3 linked regions of the Coturnix japonica genome follow. The protein of the gene in region 2 interacts with the protein of the main gene of each other region in a pairwise test. Links are inferred from orthologs where the notes say so. Each region holds a gene or a part of one and is shown on either strand. Other genes may lie near its edges. The genes, in order: PDE6D, ARL15 and UNC119.

Region 1 (4,411 bases), on a different chromosome or scaffold from region 2:
TATCTTGCCTGAATTGTAAGTTTTAAAATAGAAAATGGGTATGTTTACTTAGTACCTTAACCATGCTACAAGAGTCAGCTGGCTTTGCTGAACTCCTTTCTCCTTGCTGGTTAGAGATCAATTAAAACACCACTCTGCAGTTTGATGGAGAAACTGCCCCAGTTCAGGAGGAAGCTACAGAGGGAGTGACAGAGCACAGAGCAGAGTCAGACCGAATGCACTTGAGATTACAGGACCAGCTGTGTATAAAAGCTTGTGGAAATGAAGCTCAGTAATTACTGATGCTTTCCTTTGGAATATTAGCTAACTGAACTGGTATTACTTATGGACAAGCAACTAGAATGTATTCTCAGAGTGCCAGACCACCAAGATGCTGTATTTTAAGCAGCATCCTTAGAACAGTGAGTTGATGAATGTACCTGAGAGGTCTGATAACAAGTACTGTCTCTTAGGAAGTGACAAGCTATAGAAGATCTTGATGGTTGCTTTCCATCTCTTATCGTAACACATTAACTACGCTGTTGGTGTTTAGTTTACTGGTGCCATAAAAAAATCCTAGTGTAATAAAGTGGGAAACCTCTTTTGTCTGCAAGTATCAAATATTTCTCCTTTCGGTTTTCATCTTCTTAAGTAACAAAGTCTATGGGAAGAGGGAGTAAAATACCCTGGTCTGAATTTGACGCTAGCCACAACATGCTTCTGTGCTAGTGTCATAAAGGAAGGGAAGCATATCTTGGTGCTAAGTCAGAGGGTGGATTTAGGCTGTAATTTAATGTGCACAGCAGCATGTCCCAATCAGCTTGAAAGCCTGTAGTTAGTCTCTTCTCAGAAACCACAAATGAACAGACTTTAGTTGAGGGTGCTCCAGTACTCAATGCAAACTCCATTTCCAAAGTGTGTGTTCTTGCATTCAAGTGAGAAAACTGATTCCTCAGTGATGCCCTCTACCAAATAAACCTACCTTGGATATACTTATTTCTTTTTATGCCATACCTAAAGTACTGCTGTGATGGCTTCTGGTGCTAACAGCAAGTTTGCAGGGTGTGCTCCTTCCTTCTTGGGAGGAGGAAGAAGTTCAAGTACTCCAAATATAAACCTGAGAGCTTCCCGGAGGATGTTTCTCTCTTCCTTTCTTATTGAGGGCACCAAGTTAACACATACTTCAGCACAGGGAGCAGAAGATAAAGCATCTCTTTCAAATGTACTGTTTTAGAATACACACTGTCAAAAAAAGGAAGCCTGAGCTGGTGGCTGCCTTACAGAGAATGAGGCCACATCTGGGCACGAACTGCTTCCTGTGTGGATGCTGTGGTGTCTCAGGGCTTTCTCTCATAAATGAGGAATGCCTGCTCTGTCACTTTCCTTCTAATACTTGCATATTATTCAACTATCTCAACTCAAGAAATCCCATCTATGCAATACATCGATAAATACTTTCCTGATTTTCCAATCTGAGCTATTGAGGTTTACCTTTAACACCAGGTCAAGAAACATTTTCTATTTAAGTTACCAAACAATGGAAGTGATTTTTCATCCATAGCTGGACACAGACCTTCATTCAGATTCTGCTTCTGGCAAAGCACGTGCACAAACCAGTAGAAACAAACACGTGAAAGTCTGTACCTTAAGTTTAACTCTCCAACCCTTCTCATCTCTACCAAAAGCTCAGTCTCATCTTGTCAGGAGCTTATGCTTTTCCTAATTACTCGCACAAAACACGCTTAAATTGTGTTTTGACAGCCAAAATCTTACAGCTCCACAAACAAAAAGAACTGTCAATATTACCAGTGCAGAAGCAAAGGAACCAGCTGCAGAACTAAAAGCTGGGGGGGAGGGGACAGTGATTCATAAGTTCAGCAAAGCATCTGCCAATAGTTTGATAGCAGCTGAATCCAACTGAGTAACTCAGATTCTGCTGCAGCTGGCACAGAGATTAGCAGCACCTCGCTGGCCAAAAATATGCTCAGGAATAACAGCATTGGAGCAAGAGGGGTATTCACTTTGGTTCTGTCCTTTCATTCGCTTTGGTTCTGTCCTTTCATTCGCTTTGGTTCTGTCCTTTCATTCGCTTTGGTTCTGTCCTTTCATTCACTTTGGTTCTGTCCTTTCCATTATGGGGGGAAAAAAAATACAGCCACTGGTTTTCTTGCCCCTTAAGGCCAAGCTGGCACCTGCCCACTATGCGCAGTAGAATCTGCTACGGTAAAATCAGCTGTACACATCTCCCACCCTTACACACACACAGACCTATGCGCTGAGCCGTCATTCCCCCCCCCCATCCCCAAGGTTGCAAGGCCGCACTCAGGACCCTCCGCTCCCACTTCTGCTTCACTGCACCGGCGTTAAACTGGTGCTCGCCCAGCACGCCAAGCGACAAGGCGCAAACTTTCATCGCGTACCGCAGACAGACGCGTTAACAACCGGACTCGGGCAGCGCTGACGCCTCAGGGCCCGGCACGACGCAGCAGTGCCCGCTCGGAGCCCCGCGCTGCCCCCGGCCCAGCGCCCAGAGGGACGGACCCGCAACGCGAGGCCGAGAGGGGGACGCGACACAACAGCCCCGTGTGTGGCAGAGCTGCCATGACAACCGCCCTCACACAGGGAAACCCCGGTACCCAGCCACCCCCCCCCTTTTCCCCCAGCCCCGCCCGCCCCCCCCTCGCTCCCCCTCGGTGAGGATACAGCTTGAAGCCCCTCAGGATCTCCTTGGCCCGCTCGTCCGTGGCCGACATGGTCCTGCCGCGCCGCGCCGCGGGCTGGGCGGGCTGAGCGGGCTGTCCTGGCTGCGCGGGGCCTGGCCGGGAGCGGCGCTGACAGCGGCGCCTCACGACCCCCCGCCCCGCCCCCTCGCACTCCCTCGCACCCGCCACCGGCCGAGGCAGCCAATCCCAGCGGCCGCTCTCCCCGCCCCGACGGGACAACCAATCGCGAGCCGCCGACGCCCCTGCTGGTTGATGAAGGACAGCGGGATGGACCAATCGGACGGCGCGTCCTCCCCCTCCGTTGATATAAGGGCGGCTGCGCAGCTTGTTAAGGCGCTGGGCCCGGCCGGGGCTGAGTGACGTCGGCGGGGACGGGAGGCGGCGCGGGACAAACCTCGCCCGGCCCCATTGGGGACGCGTGTCCGGTGCCGGCCGTTCGTTAATACGTTAACACGGCTTATAACAGTCTGCGTGCGGGACGACAACTGGGGGCTCCGCGTACACTGCCACAGAGCTCCTCAACAGCACTGCCACGCTGAGGAGAGAGAACCGCGAGGCGTCGAACATACGAGGGCACAGCCTATGAGTGCCATTAACGGCACAGCCTATGAGTGCCATTAACGGCACAGCCTATGAGTGCCATTAAGGCTGGCGGTGGGCAGCGCTGACCGCCCCGTTAGCTGACATGGAGCAGCCTTGTTGTGTTCTGGATAGCCCGGCGTTACCCAGTGCGTCCAGAGAAGGGCAGAGAACGCTCCCGAAGAAAAGCTGGCAGGGAGACAGGGAGAGCGCAGGCAGCAGCAGAGCTGGAGAAGGCCAGAGCGAGCGGTTGTGTGTGAGGGAGAAGCCTGCGGGGCAGAAGTACAGCATGCTGCTCTACCCACAGCACAGGGGGCTCCGAACCGCCCCGCTTAGGGCTACAGGGAGGTGGCAGCCAGACAGAAGCGGCTCTCGCAGCGAGCAACGGCAGCGAAGGGCTCCTGACACGAGAGTGTGCCCTGATGTCGGTGTTGGGGCCTTTGTGGTTCTGACATGGGTGCCCAAACTCTCCACGCTGTGTGAGGAGGTACGTGCTTGGCAGCCTCTGCGTCTCAGCTTCAAAAACCACCCATTTCCCCTCCTAAAACTAGGGAAGAAGCGTGTGGTGGGACAGTGTAACTCAGGAGGTTCAGGTTGGATATCATGAATAGGTTCTTCAATTAGAGGTTGGTTGGGTGCTGGAGTTCAAAAAGCACCCGCGCAGTGCTGTCAAACACATGATCTGAGTGGTTCTATGTGGAACCAGGAGTTGGGTTCAGTGGTTTTTATGGGTCTCTTCTAGTTTAGGATATTCTGTGATTCAGAGTGACAGAAACCTTGAGTTCTTTCCTCTCAAAATACTTTCTCTTGCAAGAAAATTGCAGCAAGTCTCACTATTCCCTTGAACCATTTTGTTCTAAAAACCTCACCTTTGCTTTTACACCTCTGGCAGGCATCACAGTCTCTGAGCTGTCACTGCAGGTGAGGAGACACCTCCAGCCTCCTTTCTGCCTCCCCAAAGCACATTGCAATGCTCTTCTCCAAAGGTACTGCTACAAGAGCTTGTGTCCCAGGGAGACGGGCTCATAAGCTGAGGTCTTCTCCCATCTGACACTTGATGGAAGGGGTCAAACAACTGCATATGTGCCACCATCCAGATGTGTCTTTCTCATGGTCTGCGTGAAGTGAGA
Region 2 (3,617 bases):
AAAAACATGACTCGAAGAACAAACAAGATTTCACATGCAATCTTTAATGTGAAGAGTCCTTTAAATGGCATTTACAAACAGAATGACACAACTGAATTTCTTCTTGTAACTTCAGAAATAGAGGCTCTTATGATGAATAAACAACTTTCTGCATTTCCTCAATGATAAGTGACTTCATTGGAAAGTATCAATGAAGACTTCTTTCAGAAACGTAAAAGCAAATAGTACACTGAATAGAAAAGATACATGATTTACCAGATGGGGGATACAAGAGAAAAATATTACTTCTAAAAAGAAGAAAATCAGAACAGGTTAAGAACTTCAGAAAAAGAACTGCAACTATGCCCTCACACCAGTTTATAAAAGTTAAGGTAAAAAGCTTTTATGTAAAAGGCTCCTCACGACAGCCAACAACCTATTGGTTTAAGCAATTTCAAAGAATGGAGTGATGGGACAGACTAAAACTAATAGCAAATAAATACCAACACGCAAAACAAACAACAAAACACCCATAAAATACTGTCATAGCAGCTTTTGAGAAGAGTAGTTTAAATTTTTTTATACCCTGAAGCAAATCACAAAGAAAATGCAGGAGAATTCTGTTTGTATCCTAGTACTTCTTGTTGATAATGCACTGGAATAAATCCTTAGTAGCAGGGAGAGAGAAGGATGACTGAAACCAGTCCTTAACTAGGACATCAGGGTAGTAAATAATAACGGGTCAGCAGTGTGCAGACAGTAAAAACAAACAGGCCAGGTAATGTCACGATAACGTACCTCTTGTACAGAGCGTGCTGCTGGTTTGTCTTGATGATTGGCCAGTATTAAAAACGGCAAAGTACATAACTGTGGGTGCTGGAGAGCTGAATGTAGTTCATTCCTAGCAGTTTCTAGATCGTCTTCAGAGGAGGCACTGTCTAATACAAATATTACCCCTTGGGATCCTTGGTAGTAACGACTCCAGTATTTCCTGATATTGTCAGCACCTTTTAAAACAACAATAATAACTAATTAGAACAAATATAATTGAACACCTTTAAAACTTGTAATTGAAAATAATGCTTCAATTTGTAACAATCAAAGCAATCAACTTTTTTTTTCTCATAAATATACATCATTGAAAGAACAAGGGAAAAAGAATCCATGAAGCTGGCGCACACACACACGCACACACAAACGCACACAAACTAACATCATTTAAATACGGAACAAAAGTGACTAAAGGCCCTGAAAGTGTCTGCTCTGTAAATAAGCACTAGTAGAATTACTACACTAATCCCACCTAATCTCGGCTAATCCCATACTTTCTCACTGAAATATCCTGATATAAACACATGAAGAAGATGGCCTTTTTCCATCCATTCTACCTTAGCCCTATAGCTGTAAACTGCAGTTTCCTTCTTGTCAGTTGTTCGCTATTAAGTATGATAAAGTCTTTCATTTCACACCTCCAAATGTTCAAATACCTTGTAATCAAGGAAAAAAGGTGTCAGGAAAGCCTATTAAAATTACAATTACATGTATAATGATAAGGAAGTTAATACACTTGTGACTTGAATAGCGAGTGATAAGGTGGTAATTTTCAACAGTATTCATTTCAACTATTTTGCTCTGTCAGCCACACTGCAGATTCTGGAAAAGCCAGCCCCACAGTACACACGGTGAATGACTACAGGCTTATGTGTGACAGTAAGTCTTAGGGCACAGTTCAGCAGCACTCAGTCAACTCAACAGAAGCCAAGCAATAAGGTTATATCTAGAAAGCTTTTGTGTACCCTGGAGAACAGCATATGTTGTAATGCTAAGGTAGGGAAACAAGATATTTGACAGCTGTCAAACTATCTAAATTAAATTTGGACACAGGCTACTCTTTGTGTGTCTGAATCTGGCACTAGACTCATGGGGTCTAGCATTAAAAAGTGAACATCAGCAGCAGTACCCTAGGAGAAAGCTTGACATGTTTGCAAGACTGTGATTTGTAGAGATGTGCTGAAGGTATCCTTCGCAAACACCACAAATCTTACATAACTATAGGAAAAAGTGAACTTCAGTTTAGACACAGATATCAAGTGCTGATAAGAAAACTTTATTTTTTGGGGAAATAAAACAACTGCCACAGATATTCTGACCAACATGTAGTCACGGAACGATAAGGTAATGTAAAATAACTACTATAACACTGCTATGATACTTAAAATATTCCTTTAATTTGTACAACTGAAAAGAGCTACTAGAAAAAGGTGAAAACTTATTTCAGAAGGAATTCACACCATATCCTTTAAGTATCCAACGTAGAGTATTCAAATCTCACTCCACAGAGTTACTCCCTTCTCTGTATTCATGACACTGGAACCTCAAGCAGCCAGGCTCTGTATTTTGTGCTCAGCACAATTTAGGTGGCTAATAAACATTGTGAATACTGTGCTTCATCGATAGCTGCATGAAGCTATCTTTATTTTCCTCCTTTTCAGTACTTTCAGAAAAACAGAACACAGCATCATAAAAAACAAACAACAAAAAGGAACTCAAAGGTCTCACATTTGTTAGCTGTCAAACTTCCAGCAAGTCTCCATCAATAGCACAACAAATGTCACAGAGCTCTTGTTTCAAGGTAGATGAGTCTGTGCATGAAAGCTTCTACTAAAGTGAAGTTCATGGAAATTTATATATGTCTGTGAAAAGTGAGTTTGATCCACTTAGGTGTGTATATTATGTGTATTATACTATCATCTTAAAGTAAAACACGTGATTTAAAATAATCTCTGTCTCTAGTCATGAGATTTTACAGATTATTTTAAAAGGACAGTCAGAAAATACATGCCATATATCACATGCTAATATTTATTCAATTCCATATCTGAAGTTTTGATAAATTGTAGTAGGCAGAACCACAGTGGACTGCATTTTATGTCTGACAGCTGTTCTGAAACTCACTCGTTTCTTCTTCGCTCTTTCTCTAGAAACACAAATACATTGTCTTCTAGGAGAGGGAATCATTGAGTGGTTTCCTCTCTTCCTATTATTCCATCTCCACCCTCCCTCCACTACCCTATGGAGATACCATAGAAGTTCAGATTGCAGAAACAGCAAAGCAGCTTCCCAGGCTGAATACTGCTACCAGCTTATCTAAGCTGAGTCACCTTCAGCTACAGCACCCATGATCTCCAACGGAAAGCTCTTTATGCGTCTGTCTCTACAGCAGGCATATAAAGAACACAGTAAGTCTACCACAGCTGTGTTATTTCTGTCTGTCTAGTCCTTCTGCTGACTAGCTCACAGAAGTTTGAATCAGCTTTAGTCTTTGAAAGGATCAAAGCTATTTCTGGCTTGAATCAAAAAATCGAAACTTCTGGAAATGAGAGTTGTTTAATAAAGTGTAAGTATGGTTTATGATGATAAACTAGGATGCTAAACTTCCCTCCACCAGTTCAGCCTTAACAAAGCAGAGTTTCATATCCATTAGGAGAAAGAGCCTTTTTAGCATACCAAGAAGTTTCGATTTTTCACAAAAATTCTATTCAACAAAAACTAACCCCCAAAGCTCTGTATAGCAGGATAAGCACATGCTCACATCTCCTATTTGGTTCAAGTAAGATAAGAGATAGTCCATTCACACT
Region 3 (4,126 bases), on a different chromosome or scaffold from region 2:
GAGGGATCCTAAATGACAGCTCACGGAAGAGATTACTTTCAGAAATGATTAAGCACGCCTTCCTTATTTTTAGGCTTTGTTTTGTAAGTGTTTCCAAGTATGTCATCAATCATTTATCCAACCTCTCGGTTTGCTGGCATCAAAAGGAGCCCTTAGGATGAAACCTAGAATAGTAAAACTTAAGATAAGCCTTATCCCAGCAGCACAGGCAAACCGTGCAGGTGCCCAGTGCTGTGCTCTCAACCTGAAGCTTGCCCTTGGTTATGCATCAGTTGGACAACTGGCATCGTCACGTGGCAATAGGGGACGGCACTGCAAATGCTGTTATGCCATCCTCCTGCTGACCACCCATGGCTCCCATCCCAAAGCCAGACAAAGAAATCAAAGCTGTGCTGGAATTAACCTCGCCTGCAGGCAACGTGGGAGCAGCACAGCGTGACCTAGCAAACATTCAGCCTGGTCGAAGGTATCGGGGACAGTGCTCGGCTCCTCTCCCTGCCCCACAAGGCAGGACGTCGGCAGATGCACACCCCAATAATTGCAGACACACCGCTCTGATCCTCCTGCTGCTGCAGTAATTAATTGCAATTTGAACTGAGCTCTGCCCTGCTCCCTTTGCTAATCCCCAGTTAATCGCGTCACAAGGTTTTCCTCTTTTTGTAACCACAGTTGGATGAGCAAGTAACAAATCCTGCTAATTGCAAAGGAAACGGGCCTTTTGCTTTACACCTAAACCCAGCCCTACAAAAGACCCACATGCACCAGGGCAGCACCCCTGGGTCCATCAGGTTTGACCTTAGCATCATGTAGGATGTGACACTGGAAGGACACGGCACAGATACGCAGCACTGCTTGCACGCTCCCCCTTTAAGCTTATTAAAAAGACATCAGGAGGAGAGCCATGAGCAGTAGAATGGGTTCAATAGTGAGAGCTGCTGCGGTATTGGCCTCGAAGTTTGGATAAAAATGAGTTATCTGGAACTGGGAGGGATGTTTGTGGCACTGCTGCAATTCCCAACCATCAGCTCCTGTGTCAGCTTCACGTGGGCTGGAGCACCTGGATCTGGGCATCAAAACAGGGGTCAGAGGGATACAAAGGGCTGTGGTCATAAGTTGGGATGACTTGGTGGTACAGGCACTAAGGTTTGCAATGGGAAGAGTTCATTCAAGTAGTTTTAAGAGGAGAGCTTTACTAAGAAGGGAAAAGTGGAAGAGTGGGAGAAGTTTTAACCCCGTGTCTCTCCATCCAACAACCTCTGATGGTCCTTTTAGTGCATCCCAACACATATCACCACTGTAACACCCTATAAAAGCCATACATGACCATGATACCACAAAGTCCTTGCCAGCTCCTCTTATTCTCCTGATGTTAAAAGGAGGAATTACGTGCTGATCTTTCTCATGGTCCAAGGAGCATTGCATTCCCCATGCCCTCTACCCCATATATCCTCCCTCCAAATTCCAGCCAGGCAAAGGCTCCACCCCAGACACTGCCCTAACTACGGGCACCAAGGCTGCATGCTGTACACACCAAGCTGCGAGGAGAAAGAATGAGGAAGGAGTTGTATCTGGGCTTCCATACAAACCTACAGGGACCTATACACCAGAGATAGGATGGCACACAGGTCCCTTTGGATCACAACTTCACACCTCCACCGTAAGCTTGAGCAGAAGCAGAGTAAGACACTGCCTGAGTGCAAGAAGAGGCAGGAGAGCAGCTCTGCTGCCCATGGGGCGATCAGCTCAGCCTTCCTGCACACAAGAGCAAATAGCAGCAACAAGGCCAGGATGCCCAGAGTTGAATCCACATGAGGTCTGCGTGCCCCATGAGCAAGGGCAGGGGGTGGCCACGTGCCTGCAGCCCCCCAAAGAGGGCACAGCTGCATGCAGGGCCACGTGGGCTCCCAAGAAGCAAAGCACTGAGCGCAGCCATCGCTGGGACTCACCATCCAACTGCTGCTCTTCCAAGCGCGCTGGCAGCACGCTCCAGTGCCTGCTGCTCTGATTGCTGGGCCTGGGCAGTGAGTCACAGCCCAGCATCTCAGCAGGGAAACAGAGACACAACAGACCCCCCAGACCAGCACTATCTGCAGGGCTTCCTCCCCTCCTTCCTTTCACCCATCCCTGTGCTGCTCAGCCCCCAATACCCACAACCGCATCCCTTCTTTCTGGGGCTTCTCATGGCACAGCCCTGCCTGCAGCATCGCTCCTGCTCCAAGCACAGCCACCCATCATTGCCCCCTCCTCCCCTGCAGAGACACAACACACACGGGGGTATAGAAAGGCTCTTTGGGGGGTGGATAGGAGGACACTACCACAGCCAGGTTGGCCTGGAGCATGTGCCATCTCCCAGCCCAGCACGCTGCAATCCCAGCAGAGCACAACAGCCCCTCCAGCCCCACAGGATGCTCTCAAGACCGCAGCAATACTATAGGGGTGGAAAAGGGGAAACCTATTGGGAAGGCTGCAGGATGGTTACAACACTCCTCCCATTGGATCTGTGACCCCATCCCGAACCCCTCCATCCCTCTCTTCCCCCCGCAGCTGTGGGGTTCAGCCTGGCCCACCCATAGGACGGGCACAATGAGCAGCATCCCACGTCCAGCCCGGCTTGCAGTGGGGGTCCCACTCCGCAATGGAAGCACCCCCTCCCCAAGCTGGGTGTCCCATCCCACCCAAATTGCCGCCCCATCCCTCACCCGACATCACCGCGGTGCCCCCCCCCGGCCCCGTACCGCTGGTGACCCGCTGCAGCCCCAGCACGTCGTCGGGCCCGATAAGCGCTTTCCGTCCCAGCTCCTCCTCGGTCCGCGCTGCCGCCCCCCCGGCCCCGCCGCTCTTCTTCACCTTCATGGCCCCTCCGCCTCCTCCTCCTCCTCCTCTACCTCCGCTATGAGCGGCCCCGCTCAGCGCTGCCGGCCCCGCCGCACCGGGAGGGGCAGCGCCGCCCCCTGCACGGCCCGCCCCCCGCACGGTACAGCCCAGCGCCGCCGGCAGCACCGCCCGGCATCGCTCCCAAAGCCCCTCATCGCATCCCGACAGCATCGGGATGAACGTGCTTGTTTCCCCCGTACGACCCCAAAAGGGCTCCCCCAATACGAGAGCTCCCCTGTTAATGTGCCAAAGGGAAAAGCTCGACCCCAGTAATGTGTCTCTAAACCAACGCTCACAGACCCCATTCATAACTGCCCACCAACAGCTGAACCCCACCAACCCCCTTCCCCACCCCCACTTGGTGCTATATGGGCTACGTACCTTTAAGACGGGACTCAGTCCAAAGCAAGAGGTGGCCAAAGCCCAGAGAGTGGGAGAGATTCACACAGCCCCCACAGCACAACAGGGCAGGATTGGGCAGGGCAGCTCTTTATTTACACATGAACACAGCACGGGGCTGTGGGGTGCATGCAGGTCACCCTCCCTCCCCTCAAGTCTCAATAAAGAGGGGGGTAAAGCAGCAGTTCTGAGTGGAGGGTGCAAGACTCTGTGAGCACCTGCCTGCACCGTGATGCAATGCACTCTATGAGGTCCCAGCCCCAAGGCAAGGCACCGTATATGGGCTCAGTCCATCTTGGTGGGCTCCTTCTTGCTCTGCCTGGCTTCTCGGAGCATCTTACCCAGGGAGAGGAGGATTGGGACAGCCATGGGCAGGAAAAGAGGGATATAGATGGCAAATTTCTGATCATCCGGGAAGTAAAGAAGATGGAGAAGAGAAGGGTCAAAGAACGCCCGCTCCGAGCAGGTGACAGCTTCCTTGCTGGCCTGGAAAGCTGAATGCAGGCGGCCTTCAGCCAGCTCTGCCACGGCATCCTGCACTGCAGCCACCGCTCGGTATACCTGCATGGGAACAGCACAGCAGTCAGTCCTCAACCAGGAAGCACCAGAGAAGCAAAGCTAAGGGGCCTCGTTCCTGGGCAGTGCCCCACTGCTCTGCATGGGGCCAGCAGCTCCTGACCCCTCCACTCCCCACATCAGGCTGTACCAGTCGTACCTCGGAGGCGACGTCGTCTTTGATGACGATGTTACTGATCTGGTCCAGCAGCTGCGCCAGTGAGGTCAAGGTGGTGGACACAGTGGCAATATTCTCCAATGTATGGGCCCAAAGCAGGCGGTCCAGCTCCCAATCGGC

Evidence for each region.
Region 1: the proteins of ARL15 (region 2) and PDE6D interact in binary tests that used the Homo sapiens proteins (3 or more experiments, as listed by UniProt). The link is inferred for Coturnix japonica from reciprocal best matches to the Homo sapiens genes ARL15 and PDE6D.
Region 3: the proteins of ARL15 (region 2) and UNC119 interact in binary tests that used the Homo sapiens proteins (3 or more experiments, as listed by UniProt). The link is inferred for Coturnix japonica from reciprocal best matches to the Homo sapiens genes ARL15 and UNC119.

The regions. Positions count from the first base shown.
Region 1 is NC_029524.1:13,401,788-13,406,198, forward strand, and holds the start of PDE6D (retinal rod rhodopsin-sensitive cGMP 3',5'-cyclic phosphodiesterase subunit delta), read right to left. Parts: upstream 2,850-4,411; 5' UTR 2,733-2,849; coding exon 2,683-2,732; intron 1,121-2,682; exon of another isoform or gene 1-1,120. Other genes in the region: COPS7B (COP9 signalosome complex subunit 7b), read left to right, coding at 3,388-3,768. UniProt on the Homo sapiens protein: Promotes the release of prenylated target proteins from cellular membranes. Modulates the activity of prenylated or palmitoylated Ras family members by regulating their subcellular location.
Region 2 is NC_029547.1:17,911,110-17,914,726, forward strand, and holds part of ARL15 (ADP-ribosylation factor-like protein 15), read right to left. Parts: intron 987-3,617; coding exon 778-986; intron 1-777.
Region 3 is NC_029534.1:4,517,957-4,522,082, forward strand, and holds the start of UNC119 (protein unc-119 homolog A), read right to left. Parts: upstream 2,910-4,126; 5' UTR 2,854-2,909; coding exon 2,736-2,853; intron 1-2,735. UniProt on the Homo sapiens protein: Involved in synaptic functions in photoreceptor cells, the signal transduction in immune cells as a Src family kinase activator, endosome recycling, the uptake of bacteria and endocytosis, protein trafficking in sensory neurons and as lipid-binding chaperone with specificity for a diverse subset of myristoylated proteins.